Linked DNA regions of Xenopus tropicalis. The protein of the gene in region 1 binds, or shares a complex with, the protein of each later gene. Links are inferred from orthologs where the notes say so. Each region holds a gene or a part of one and is shown on either strand. Other genes may lie near its edges.

What was found.
Region 2: the proteins of arrb1 (region 1) and ap2b1 are in contact, whole or in part, in a crystal structure (PDB 2IV8), measured with the Homo sapiens proteins. The link is inferred for Xenopus tropicalis from reciprocal best matches to the Homo sapiens genes ARRB1 and AP2B1. Residues at the interface, in NP_004032.2 of Homo sapiens: Asp384, Asp385, Val387, Phe388, Glu389, Phe391, Ala392, Arg393, Arg395, Leu396; in NP_001273.1 of Homo sapiens: Arg834, Gln835, Phe837, Leu838, Trp841, Lys842, Asn846, Glu849, Ile876, Ala877, Arg879, Val881, Glu882, Gln884, Tyr888, Glu902, Arg904.

What each region holds. Positions count from the first base shown.
Region 1 is NC_030678.2:175,780,702-175,789,650, reverse strand, and holds the start of arrb1 (beta-arrestin-1), read right to left. Parts: upstream 5,475-8,949; 5' UTR 5,131-5,474; coding exon 4,985-5,130; intron 1-4,984. UniProt on the Homo sapiens protein: Functions in regulating agonist-mediated G-protein coupled receptor (GPCR) signaling by mediating both receptor desensitization and resensitization processes.
Region 2 is NC_030678.2:93,557,756-93,563,748, reverse strand, and holds part of ap2b1 (AP-2 complex subunit beta), read right to left. Parts: intron 5,439-5,993; coding exon 5,293-5,438; intron 3,929-5,292; coding exon 3,799-3,928; intron 1,753-3,798; coding exon 1,668-1,752; intron 377-1,667; coding exon 290-376; intron 1-289. UniProt on the Homo sapiens protein: Component of the adaptor protein complex 2 (AP-2). Adaptor protein complexes function in protein transport via transport vesicles in different membrane traffic pathways.

The DNA of each region.
Region 1 (8,949 bases):
GCTCATCTTTCCGTCGCTGGATAAGGGCCCGACAGGGGACCCTTTGATGTGAATAACAGAGAGAAGGATTAAGTCACACGTGATTGGTCGAAAGATCTCGCACTTGCCCCCCATAGTGTGAGTTACAGAGCACTTGTGCCCGACAGGCACTGTATTTAATGCCTGCCATAGCCAAGCGGTAATTATAGGTTCCCGTTGCTTCTTTTGCCCATGTTTATTGCAGTTTGCACCCTGCCCCACATCCTTGTGTCTGACCTGCACCTATGGGTGCTAAGTGCCCACAACATGGAGCTGTGCCCTTTGCACCCTGGTTGGCACTTTTGGCAGCAACTGTCACAGTTACAACTACAGTCGCTCATTTCTTTGTGGCCCTTAACAATTACATAGGCGATTCCATGAAACTGGGTCAGTTTATTGCCCCCCCCCCCGGTGCTGTAATTGTGCCCCCCCCCCCCCCGGCAATAGGAATCCTCTCCCTAATCCGCTTTGCCTTGTGGGTATTTTGCACTCTCATTAATGAGCCGCCCTTTCACACTCTCATTTACTTTCCTCTTTGATTATCTTTATCCCAGCGGATCATTAGCCGACGGAACGGATAGTTCTAATTGGATCGCATTAGCAAGTGAGGAAGGTGTCCGGCAGCTCATCCGACTTGAGCAGTCGTTATGGCAACAGCGGGAGGACACCCAACTAATTCCCATGCCCTGGAGTAGGACTGGGCATTATACTTGGCATCTATCAGTGTGTGCCACGGGGAATCCCTGGGCCCCATACTACAGGTATAGGACCTATTATCCAGAATGGGGTTTTCCGGATAAGGGATCTTTCCGTAATTTGGATCTTCATAACTTGAAGTCTGCTAAAAATCCTGTAATTATATCTTAGTTGGGATCAAGTACAGGTACTGTTTTATTATTACAGAGAAAAGGGAATCATTTAACCATTAAATAAACCCAATAGGGCTGTTCTGCCCCAATAAGGGGTAATTATATCTTAGTTGGGATCAAGTACAGATACTGTTTTATTATTACAGAGAAAAGGGAATCATTTAACCATTAAATAAACCCAATAGGGCTGTTCTGCCCCCAATAAGGGGTAATTATATCTTAGTTGGGATCAAGTACAGGTACTGTTTTATTATTACAGAGAAAAGGGAATCATTTAACCATTAAATAAACCCAATAGGGCTGTTCTGCCCCAATAAGGGGTAATTATATCTTAGTTGGGATCAAGTACAGATACTGTTTTATTATTACAGAGTAAAAGGGAATCATTTAACCATTAAATAAACCCAATAGGGCTGTTCTGCCCCAATAAGGGGTAATTATATCTTAGTTGGGATCAAGTACAGGTACTGTTTTATTATTACAGAGAAAAGGGAATCATTTAACCATTAAATAAACCCAATAGGGCTGTTCTGCCCCAATAAGGGGTAATTATATCTTAGTTGGGATCAAGTACAGGTACTGTTTTATTATTACAGAGAAAAGGGAATCATTTAACCATTAAATAAACCCAATAGGGCTGTTCTGCCCCAATAAGGGGTAATTATATCTTAGTTGGGATCAAGTACAGGTACTGTTTTATTATTACAGAGAAAAAGGAAATAATTTTTAAAAATTAGAATGATTTGCTTATAATGGAGTCTATGGGAGATGGCTTTTCCGTAATTCAGAACTTTCTGGATAAGGGGTTTCCGGATAAGGGATCCCATACCTGTACTAAGTTAGCAGGGCCCTCCACCCTAGGGAGCCCCAATTATTTACCCACTGGGTAGAAGCATATCTACCCGGGGGGGGGCAGAACCCCTAGGCTCAGCCCCCCATGGTATGTGCATGGTAAGTTTCAGTGTGGAAATCTTGCCCACTATAGTTACCCCACTACCATTGGTCACCTAGACCCCCAGGGGGAGGATCCTGCCAACATGCGAAATGGGACCCCAATGAGAACACACACAGACACACCCCATATCCCAGTCCCGACCCATAAAGCTAAAACTGTGCCAACATTGCACCCAAATTTCACCCACTCCAAATAACCAATAACAATTTTATTTCTCTTGGGCCCCCCTGTGCCTCTTGATGGTACAAATATTGGGGGGCCCGGGGATTATGCCCTCACTTCCCTATGATGAAACCCTATGTGTCATGTTTAGCGCTGGGGGGTTTGGGCTTCAGGGACTGAGCCCCACACTGGGATAAAGGGAACACACCCGGGGCCCCTCCGGTATAACGAGGGTTAATGCGCCACGCCTACCGCCGTGAATTTGCTTCCAAACGCTAACAATGAGCAATTAAACTCCTCTTAATCCTCAAATATTTTGCCAGGGTGATAAGGAATCCTGCCAGCAATCCAACACCCGATGCCAGCTCTGTGCCCACATACAGTGCCAAGGTGCCGCCATGGTAACCTAATAAATGCACTCATATGACTGGCGGGGGGGCAAAGGCTCACCTGGGGGGGCAGTTATATAACAACTGGTTGGACTCCCCCTGTGCCCCCCTAATGGCCATGTCCCAGCCACTCCTGATTATTCCCTGACCATGTACTCTCATTGGCTCACCCAAGGTTAAAGGGGATACAAACCCTGCTGCCCAGCGCGGCTCAACCCAACGTTACTCAGTTGTTACTGGGCTACAAATCCCACAATAATGTAACATATAATGAAGCTTGGGGCATGCTGGGAGCTGTAGTCCAGCAACATCAGGGCTGTATTCTTAAAGCAATATTGCACAATAAAACTTTCCCCCAAATCCCCACAGCCAGCGACTGCTTTAACATGCGAAAAATCCTCCAATGAGAATCCCAGCTGATGTGAGTAAATCCGGCTCCCTGTTCTCTGTTCCTGCAATTGGAGTTGGGAGCAATAAGCACAGTTTCCCAGCACTGAACAAGTCTGTCCCTTTATCCCCATGTCTGATTCCTGTGCCATATAATGAGGGGAGAAAATGCCATCATTATCTCTATATGTAAGGTACCAGCAAGGGGCCTGACACAGTGCTGGGAATCAGCATTCTCACTGGGCAGTTCTTTTGCATTTATAATCAACTTATTTATCAGTACAATTCTCATTGGGGAATTTCCTTGCATCTGTAATGATGGTTTTTGGCAGCTTCTATAGCAAAACTAGGGGGCGCCGTGGGGCAGCATCATGGCTGGGTTTATATCACCATTAAATATACGGGGGGCAAAAATGCAGGATATTTGGCAGGTCCGACAGATGACTGGGCCACATGCTATCAGCAGGGCTTTCCCCACAATGGAGCCTGGGTTATTAGCCCCCCCGCCCACACACAGGCCCTGAGCCCTAGAATCCATGTAACCAAGGCTAGGTACATACATAGCAAAACCCCCAGTCTGCCCTGTTACCCTCTTACCTGCCCAGACCCCTGCCCATCTCACCAGCAAACCCTGTACCTTTTGCAGTCCTATGACAATGGCTATGGCCCCGTCCCTGCACTGTGATTGGGCCCCAGACCAGTCACCCCCCTCCCCTGCTGCTGAGTCCTTAATTGCACCCAGAAAGATACAAGTCACAGGGCCAATGGGCTCCCAGACTTCGAATAGAGGTTTTGGGAGCCCAATTATAGCACCCATGGGTGCCTGGTTATACAACTACAGCCTTGGATGGTATTAGAGCACCTAAATATCCAGGTCACTTCCAGTTGCCCCGGATTGGGCCAGCGGATAAGGAAGGTAATTACCCCAAAGGCTTCATTGCTCAGCCAAAGCGCCTTATATATTTATCCCACTCTCCCTAACGCTAATCCTCTTATCAGCCCTAATCTAATTATATGACCCCCACCCCCCCCCCGCCAGATTGCACATCCCACTGTCACTCAGCCAATGAATTGCCTCCATTGTGCTCTTGGGAACCAATGACCCATTGCTCTGTGCGGCCACAGTTTTATTGTTACAGCTCTGTAACTTTTCTTTCTATTCAGTCCCACTTCTATTCGTATCCCAGTCTCTCATTCCAACCACTGCCTGGTTGCTAAGATAATTTGGACCCTATCGACCATATAGCTGCTAAAATGCCAAGAGCCCCATTAAATGACATTATTGGCCGCACTATTGTGACGTCATTTCTGTATTCCAAGAGCTTCCCAGTGACACAAGTCCTTTAGGGGTTACGTGCCCAATGGGTTCCACTGGGAATGAGGTGCCAGTGCACAAAGGGTGCAAACTCTATACCAGAACAGGGCAGGGTTGTGCCAAGTTACGGGGCCCCCCTGCAGCCTATTACATATTTCTACATTTCATAGCATCCCCCCCCAGTTACAGCCTGTACACCTACCATCATCTTGCCTTACTATACACATTATGCCATAGTTAGAGCCCCTTCTCCTGGCACTGTAGCCCCTATGCCGAGTGCCATCTTGCCTACTATACACATTATGCCATAGTTAGAGCCCCTTCTCCTGGCACTGTAGCCCCTATGCCGAGTGCCATCTTGCCTTACTATACACATTATGCCATAGTTAGAGCCCCTTCTCCTGGCACTGTAGCCCCTATGCCGAGTGCCATCTTGCCTACTATACACATTATGCCATAGTTAGAGCCCCTTCTCCTGGCACTGTAGCCCCTATGCCGAGTGCCATCTTGCCTTACTATACACATTATGCCATAGTTAGAGCCCCTTCTCCTGGCACCACCTTACCTTATTCTGCACACTGTCCAGCACTGTAGCCCCTATGCCGAGCCCCATCTTGCCTTACTATACACACTATACTACAGTTACAGCCAATCCCTGAGGGTCCCTTTGCATACAGCTTGGGGGCCACACAAACTGCAGGGCACTAAAGGCAGCCCGGCCACAGAAAGAGGGGGCACTGCAAGCACCGGGCATTAAGGGGAATAACAGTGGGATTTGCTCATTAGAGGTAACACCCCGGGGGTCATGTTGGCACGAGGGGGCATCGCTGTGGGTGATTCCTTGTGCCCAGTCCGACACACATTGTGCCACAGACCTGTCCTTACTCACAGAAATACGTTCTCCATTGGCGCGGCCTTGTGGGCTTCCAGCTCCCCACAGCGGATTCCCAGCGGTGCCACCACGCAAGCAGGAACCGACTCCTCCAATACGGTTCTGATCCTTAGGTACGGGCTGTCAATCCACATGTAATCCATCTAGGCACCGGCATCACTGCAGCCCTGCCAGCCAGCGAGGTGTGCGACGGTCCCTTCCCTCTCAGCTCTCTCCCCCCCACTGATTCCTTTATTCTCTCCAATGGCAGCGACTACCCACGGGCTGGAATCTCAGCCGCTCTCTCGCTCTCTCGCTCTCTCTCAATCCAAGCAGCTGCATCAAAATTCTCCCATTTACTGTGTTATGCCCTGCGTGCAAGTCTGATTGGCTCGTGTCGTCATCGGCAGTACAGCGTGCCGCGGGCACAACACCAGCATATCAAATCTCTGCAGCCTCCCGCGGGTATGGGTGAGACCCTCCCCAGCCAGCGGGAATGCAGAGACAGAGATAGGGGGCCCAAATATTCCCCCCAGCAAAATGGCAACAGCAAGATACAATGGGGATTGTAAGATATGATGGAGACAGTGGGATAGGAAGAATGGTAAGATAGGGCAATGGTCAATAGGGCAAGAGGGCGACAGTAGGTCATGATGGAGACAGTAGGGCAAGATGGGGACAGTAGGACAAGATGGAGGCAGTAGGGCAAGATGGAGACAGTAGGGCAAGATGGAGACAGTAGGGCAAGATGGAGACAGTAGGGCAAGATGGAGACAGTAGGGCAAAATGAAGACAGTAGGGCAAGATGGGAGACAGTAGGGCAAGATGGAGACAGTAGGGCAAGATGGAGACAGTAGGGCAAGATGGAGACAGTAGGTCAGGATAGAAGCAGTGGGAAATGATGGAAACAGGACCAAAATAAAGAAAGTATGGCAAGATGCTTTAAAGGTGAATTAGCTTTGCTTGTACAACATATTTCCCAGGGCAGCCCAGTAAGCAGGGTTCCTATCTCTGCTGTTGGAATTAGAGTGTAGGCCTGGGGGAGAGGTGCATGTAGTCAGGACCAGAAACAGGCAAAATAAACAAAACAAAACACAATTCAAATAATAGAATACTTTGCCTTTAAATCATACAAATACAAAAACACATACAAGAGTATTATAAAAACAAAACCCCAAGTCTGGATGTGGGCCAAAAGCATCAATCTCTGGAGAAAATAGAGAAATAAATTCCGTTGAGGGGTTTGGGAATAGTCAGGGCGAGTGAACGTAAGGTCACAATCCATGGAGATGAATGTCTGGTTTATATTTTGGGAATAAAATCAAAGCCGCTAAATGTCATCCAAACGGGGAAACTATGGAGAGATATGCTGAAGTAAATTCAGCAAAAGAGCTCAGTGCCAGGCAGTGACTGCAAAAGCCAACAACAACTTCTGTTCCACATGCCATGGAGTTTTGCCCATAAATGCCATGTTGTGAGGCCTGGTCTAGTACACGGAAGGTATAAGCACCTTTGGGTGTCACCCCAGAAGGACCACCCAAAGGGAAACTATGGAGAGATATGAAAATAACACAGAAAAATACTCAGCAGAAGAGCTCAGTGCCAGGCAGTGGCTGCAAAAGCCAACAACAACTTCCGTTCCATATGCCATGGAGTTGTGCCCATAAATGCCATGTTGTGAGGCCTGGTCTAGTACGTGGTATAAACACCTTTGGGTGTCACCCCGCAAGGACCACCCAAAGGGAAACTATGGGGAGATATGAAAATAACTCAGAAGTAAACTAAGCAGAGGAGCTCAGTGCCAGGCAGTGGCTGCAAAAGCCAACAACAACTTCCGTTCCATATGCCATGGAGTTGTGCCCATAAATGCCATGTTGTGAGGCCTGGTCTAGTACGAGGAATAAACACCTTTGGGTGTCACCCCGGAAGGACCACCCAAAGGGAAACTATGGAGAGATATGAAAATAACTCAGAAGTAAACTCAGGAGAGGAGCTCAGTGCCAGGCAGTGGCTGCAAAAGCCAACAACAACTTCCGTTCCATATGCCATGGAGTTGTGCCCATAAATGCCATGTTGTGAGGCCTGGTCTAGTACGAGGTATAAACACCTTTGGGTGTCACCCCGCAAGGACCACCCAAAGGGAAACTATGGAAGGACCAACAGAAGTGGGTGTATTAATGCCCCTACCATATCAGAGAGTTCATTGGGTGCCAGCCTAGTGCATTGACCCAACCTGATGCGGGAACCCAAGGTCCAGGGTGGCAGTAGCTCCAGGGTTCCCCAGTGTGAATGGGCGCAATGGGGGCAAGAGGGATGTCTCGGAAAGCATGGGCAAGTGCAGGAACATGTTCATGCCTCCATGTATTGTCTCATTTCCCCTCTCCTGCCAACAAACACCAGTGGGGTTTAAAAACTGGGGGATAAATATTTGAGTGTTTCCATCGGCCTTACAATGACAAACATGTCTGAGGTCACAAAACAAATGCGGAAAGATTAACACCGCCGTCCAAAAAGGAATAGACTTGACTAAAGGCCACTGCGGAAGAACAACATGCAGGTTCTACAGGCTACTGCCTAGAGATCTATTGCCCCCAGTCGGGGCTGTTGGTTGCTAGGAACAAGTTTAGGGGTCCAGGGACTTGTCTTGTTGCTGAACAAACACCAAGCGGCGAGAGGGGGGCGCCGACGCTCAGCAGAGCCCGGATCGTTCTGATGTATGAGGCTCATTTCTCGTTGGTTTGAATTTCTAATTAAAAGTAAATCAAATCAGTGGGAACAAACAGGCAGCGAGGTCAGGCCAAGATTGGAGTAAGACTCGTCATAAATAGGATTGGGTGGGACACTCTATTGATTCATACAAAAACAGCATAGTAATACATTAAGCTGTGCAGAAGTAGGGAGTAATTAGCGAGTGTGCAGTAGGAGTAGGTACAAACAGCAGGACCAGCATGGAGTAGGGCAATAGCGTATGGGTTGAGGAGAGCACAGAGAATTCTGCATGAGTGTGGATTATAAGTAGTCATGCATAGGATGGGGTAATTAGTATGGAGTTAGAGTAATAATGCACTGCATGGGGTTGGATAGAGTTAGTAGTATGCATACTCCTGTGTAGGGAAGAGTAGAGGGTATCCCGCATAAGATGGGGTTTGATAAGAGTATTAGTGACTCTGCATATGATGGAGTTACACAGAGCTGGGGAAAGAGTAATCCTTATAGGACAGGGTGGAGTAGGGAATGGAGCATGCATGGAGTTGCACAGAATATGGAGTAGGAGTAATTGCACATAGGATGGGGTTGGATAAGACTATGGGGCTGAGTAGAGAATAGAGTAAGAGTAGTTATACACAAGGTGGGGTTGTGCAGACTATGAAGTAAGAGTAATCCTAATGAGTATGGGGCTGAGGAGAGAATGGAGTAAGAGTTATAGTTATGCATTTGATGGGATTGTATAGAATACGGAGTAGGAGTAATTGCACATAGGATGGGGTTGGACAGACTTTGGAGTAGGAATAATGGTACTTTTGCTCGTACCCCAGTGCCTTACTACAAGCCAATAGGCCGTACTCCTATGTTTATTTGCTACTCAAACGCTACTCGAGTCAGTTTGTGCCACACGTTAAAGGACTCACTTCCCAAACAGCTCACAAAGTCCTTCCTCCATGGAGTCCCGGCACCCCGGCCAAGAAACGTAGCCTGTACCTACTGACAGTAAGCCCCGCCCCCCAAGGGACATTTCCATAATACACCAAGATGGCTGCCCTACACCCAGCCCATCATAAACCTTTATTCCATCCCAAAAGTGCTTTGTGTTTGAGCCGAGAGTGCAGCCGAGAGTGCAGCCGAGAGTGCAGCCGAGAGTGCTGAGAGCCGTTGCCCCTTTCTTGCAGCTTCGAAACCTAAATGGATTTGTGATGATGAAAATCAATATTTTCACTTTCAGATTTTCCATCTAATCCCTCCATATTGGACAGTTTGTAGCCCAT
Region 2 (5,993 bases), about 82 Mb from region 1:
CGTCCATAGCAGAAACTCAAGGTTACCCCGATTATGCAAGTTTATTTAACCCCTAAATATGCTAGTCTGACCTGTCATCATATTGGCTTGTGTACTGTGTTAACCCTAAAGCTTACATTAGTAAGTGAGCTTATGTAAAAAGGATAGCGTGGCAAGAGTCCTACCACTATTTAGTGCTGCTCACTCTCTCCATAAAAGGGGAGCAAACATCCAAAATTCATAAAAAAAAAACCAAAAAAACATTTTAGAAGTAAGCCAACGCAAAACCTGCTTTATTGGACTTTCTTACCTGCATTCAAATGGCAATCTTTGATCTGAAACTGCAGCTCATTCTCATTGGGGATGTCCTTCCATGTGGCCAGGAAGACTTGACGTTCTATGAGACAACACATGCATATTTATTATATAAAGAAAATGCTCATACTAGTTAATAAGGGAAAACATTCACTAAACTATAAGAAAGGCAAATGTGGCCTATTCAGGCTACAGACTGACTGCTCTCAGACCAACCATCTATACATAAAATGTTATGGTATAGAATCTATAACCCCAGATTGGAATGGGGGGGGGGGGGGGAGATATAATAAACACTACATTAAAAAAAGAGTTGATGGACAGATTATAATTTGAGAGCATTTTTACAGGAGTAACAGTTTTTTAAAATGGGTTTCCCTTTATTTTAGCAACATATTTCTCTTTGGTTGATGTTTTTAAAAGCAATTCATTTACCTGTTTATTATAAGTAAAAAGCATTTGGGATGGTGCAAAAGGACAATAGAAGAGTTAGTAAGAGAAAAATAAAAGATGTTTCTCCTGTGGACTTTGTAAATGGACAATAAAGCTAGAGGGCAAGAATGCCAATTATGCTTTACAATTTTGAAAATACAAGGTGCCATTGCTTAGGAAGAAGCCATTTAATGGTAAAGGCATCCTCTGTGTTGTGTGCAAGACACAAAGAACTCCACTCCCAGGACCTTTGAGGGACTCTGGAAAACTAGGAGTGAGGGTCGCTAACATGGAGAGAGGAACCTCAAGGAATAGAGTTCGGACTTATGTGGGATCTGTGCCTTATAAGCTCTTTTTAATTCATTTTCTAAACAGGAATACCATTGGTATAGATGGCACAAGCCAACAGAGCAAAAATTCCAGTGTCAGTAAAGAAGGTAGACATAATGAATAACATGCTTTTCATTTGCACATAACAGGATTTTTACATACAGTCCAAGAGATGCAAGAGGTTCTGTTGTCATAAGTCATGATTTAACCACTGGCATTGTTACACTAGGAATCCATTAGGATAAATTACTACTAGGGACATTTTACAGCTTTTTCTAGCTGTTGAACTTTAAGATGTCCTTCAGCACAGGATACAATCCAATAAATCTTGGCTATAATCTCTAAGCGCTGCTGCCATACCTTTTTATAGCTCCTCTGTTGAGTTTTAAACTCCAATCAAGTCCTTGGTAGAGAAGGTAGCAGCTAGTGAGGACACTAACACAATCATTACAGTTGAGCAGAATATACCACGCTCCATTACAATAGGCTGTACAATATAATAGAAATTGATGCAATACCAAACAAACGATGATAAATTTACAATATTGCAAACTGATGTGCACCCTACAGAAGAAGTCCCTTTAAACCTTACATATCAGATCTTTCCTTACCCATTTTGCCATCCTCCACAAAGAGCACATGTAGAGGGATAAGACAACTGAAGTAGAACACGTCGATGTTATTTTTCACAGCCACCTAGAATACACAAAAGAGTAGTGTGAAACGTAAGAATTATGGCAGGTTCACAGCAATCCCTAACCTAATGTACAGGCTTCACAACAGCCATTAACACGTTCAAAGCAGCCTTTCAGTCTTTTAGAATTCACCTTCTCAGCTACATGCACAAAACCAACAACTGTCTACAGTTTTATAAATAAGTGGATGGCTTTTTAATTACAGTTGAGTATTTTTGTGTGTGCTAGAATCCAAATGTATTGTGTGTAGGTTCTTTTTGACGCATCATATGTTTGCACTATGATACAACTATTGGCTAATAAATATAAACATTACATAACCTTCTGGGGTCACGTGTACATATATGTGTTTAGATAAGAAATGTCCTGAAGCTTGCTTGATTTAGCATTTACTCTGAATACACTGCTAACTCCATCCAAACTATACTTAGAAAGCAGCTTTTGATGTGCTCCCCAGAGTACTCATAAATAAAAGAAACCCTGACAGCCAGCTAATACCCAAGAGACAGGACACTGCCTCAGTATGGCCTTAGCCAAGTCAATTTTCTAGCTACATCTAACTGAATTATAGTACATCAAGTGGCAGCTTCAATGACACATCTCCTATCCACTGAGTTATATGAAAGTGTGCTATGGTTCTGTTTTATTCCACACCCATGTACAGTACAGCAGTGCTCCAAAAGTAACATGCATTCAACATGCATTAATCAATATCCATGTAAATAAATGTCATCTTCTTTAAAAAAACATCTTCCCTATAATACTTCTTTATTTGGGGATACTTTTACAGAAGTGTTAGAGGTCAAGGAGACAGTGTTGTGCCCCCACTCCTTATCTAATAAACTGTAAATTAAACACCTCAGGTCTAAGTTACTAATAACAGTATGTAGCTGCAGACCTAGATTATACACCAGTAGCATCTTTGCTTTCTTTTTAAAGCATAATTAGCCAGAATAAGTGATGTGTGATTATTCTAATTTCACCTTAGACAGACAGTGGGTCTTATTTATAAAGATCTCAGCACCAATAAAGTGCTCTTTATTAGTTGACTGGAGTTATACATTTCATCTATAAGCAGAAGGAGCACCACTACATGTATGGACACTAGGCAAATCTGCACCTCAGCAGTAACCCATAGCAACCTATCAGTTATTATGTTTTTATAGCCAGCTACAGGTTAAACACTGAAAAAAATCATCTGATTGGTTGTCATGGGTTAATGCCTAGGTGCAAATATGCCCAATGTTTATAAAGGACCCCCCAGTAGCTTATGAATTTCGAAAGATATACATAAAATGTAGGTTTAAAAAAAGGCATACAATCTAGGCTGCAAAATCAAATCCCAAAAAAACAACGAATACAAATTTTGTCTCAAACTGTAAAAGCTATAATATAAATAAAAAGCAATAATAGAGTTGCAGGTCTGTCATGGGTACTTGATTTCTGTAGATGCCTCAGTAAAAATCAATAGAGTAAGCAAGTGGATCTATGAGAATACATAGATTTCTAAATGGATATTCAGTAAATTTGCTTCAATTAATGTCAGCCTCGGCTTTATACACATATTACAGTTCTTTATTGTTGTGTCTACTGCTATCTGGCTCTACCAAGGTTGTTGTTGGGCAGTAATGTAGGTCAGGGTTGTCTGACAACCGAAACATGATTTTTATGACATGTCCCCCCATCATAACTTCAATACAATCAAGCTTATGAGCAAAGTGTTGGCTGGTATGCAAAAATGTTGGATGCCACTACATAGGTGATAAAATCCATGGTCTTAAAGGTTTTTGTTGCGGCAATTTAAAGTGGCAACTCCATTGTTTTAAAAATCATGATTCGTCCTGGTCCTGGGTTTCCATGAAAAACTTTTATTAATTCTACAGAAGCTATTTAAATCCCAAGTTAAATATCATCTATCCACAAACATTTGCATACATGCACGCACACACTGTTTATGTTATGAATGGTAATAAAGATCTTCAGCCCCTACTAATTAACTTCATGATCACAACCACTACTGTAATGTAAAAAAAGAGATATATATTACCTGGAGATTGTTAAGGGGCTCCATTTTCATAACAGGCCCAAGGGTGTTTAGAGGAAGAGAAATGTCAATACTTTGGTTGGGCATGAGGGGAGTATGAATCGCCAGAGGGGCACTGGGAATGACACCAAAGCTAAGGGAAAATAGAAAGAAATTAGACACTTCTGAACAGTCCAAATGCCATGAAATAATTATTAGGGTAACATTCCTTAGAGGAGAAGGAAAGGTTAAAACTAATTAAGCTTTAACAGAAATGTCTATGTAAATACAGATAGTCCTCTATCAAAAGAAACACAGTATTTCTTGTCTCCTTTTTTGTAAATATGTTCTTCTGGTATCTGACTTTAGAGTCAGCGCCGTTCTCTTCTCTCGCCCCTCTCCTGATTCCTCATCCCATAAGGCTCTTTACTCAGGTATGGTAATGCTTTCTGCAGAATAAATAGTGTTCTAGGTGGCACTAATATGGTGAATCTATTGGCAGTAAAATCCTTCTCCTTTAAGCCAACTACTGTACCAAAATGTGCTGAGAAGTCGGCATGCTACAGAAAACAGCTCAGAACCTGCAGTAAATAAAGCACTAGGGAAAGCAAGTGGTTCTCACCACTCTGCCCTACAGTGGCTATACAGCCAAAATCCAACTGCTTCCATGTAGTACAAGTACCAAAGCATGGGATAAAAGTGGCTAGACTGTGAAAAGCAGTGCACTACACAGAGAATGTAAATCAGCCAATTAGATGACATAATGTGTGCTTCATAATCCAACTGTCCAGGGTCCACGCATACAGCAACCTTCAGTTGACATTACATTAAGAAAATGAATCTATCACAACACCTATTAAGGTAGGCAAGAAAAGCAGTGGTCCAGTCTCAACTAAACAGAACATGCAAATGTTTGTCTGTCCTCTTTCCCACAATCTTTGTGGGTCTTCTTTACCCTTTATATTAGTCAATATTTGTTCCTAGTTTGCATGTACTGAAATGCCCCTTCAGAACTGTACAATTTTGTGTTAAATATCAGTGTTTTATAAATACTTCAAAACTGGCTCACAGATCAGAGATCTACAGAACAGTTCATTTATGCTAAATGTTATTTAAATGTGAATATTTCATGGGAAGAAGCATTAGTAAGAATGATCAGTTACCATTGGGTGGATTTCTCATATGTTTGTCCTTTTCTAACAATATTGTTAAATATTAACATTATATCTGTATTATATTTTATTTATATGCCATGGGGCATATAGAATTGGACACAAGGAAACAAAGAGCCCAGAAAGATAAAGTAATAAAATATGAAAAATGACTGCAATTCTGAAGAACCCAGTGGACTGATCTAGAAGCTAATCTTTGTGGGTGAATGTGATGAGGGACCGTAGGCTATAAGCTTATACACAGGGGCAGGGACAGATATGAATGACAAACAATCCGTGTAAAGCACTGCATAAACATGGTAGCCCTATATACATAACAGATAATAAAAAATTCTAAGTGTCTTACCTGTTCTTATTAAACTGTATTGCAAAGTCAGTCATGTGCTGCAAAGCTTTGTTGGTGAAACTCATATCCATGTAGATGTGTGCTTGCCTGTGGGAGAATGTACCAGAGATCTCCAAGCCTTTGGCTTTTACAGCAGGTAACCAGACCTGGGAGAAAAATTCCAGGGAACCATGAGTTTTAAGAGGTATTATTTACATCACAAGTTCATAAACCCTCATACATTTACCAGCAGTGTGTACCAATAGCTGTAAATGCATTAACTGCAATTCAATAAATATAATTAGAATTTATTTCTTCCAAAAATACACAGCCATACAACATAGATCTGCACTCAGAAGGTAGTTAAATGCACTTTAAATTAGCTCAGACTGCTTTGAAATAAGTGTAGGCCTGTGAATTTGCAAATATACAATACAACCTGCTTTTATGTGCTTCAGTACATCTGAAGATTCCCAGTGTTTTACAGAAAGCATAATGACAGTACCAAAATAATTTTGTCATAAAGAATTTTCTTGTTATATTCTATGAAAGTGTGGGCTTATTTATAAAAAAACTTTTTTCAAAGCAGATTATAAACCAAATGCAGAATTTTACTGGTTTTACCACCACCGCCACTTTATGTTTATATCTAAGGCTAATGCCACACAGGGCCAATTCTTGGCCTGTGGATAAACATAATGTCGGCTTCCCGGTGGAGGCAC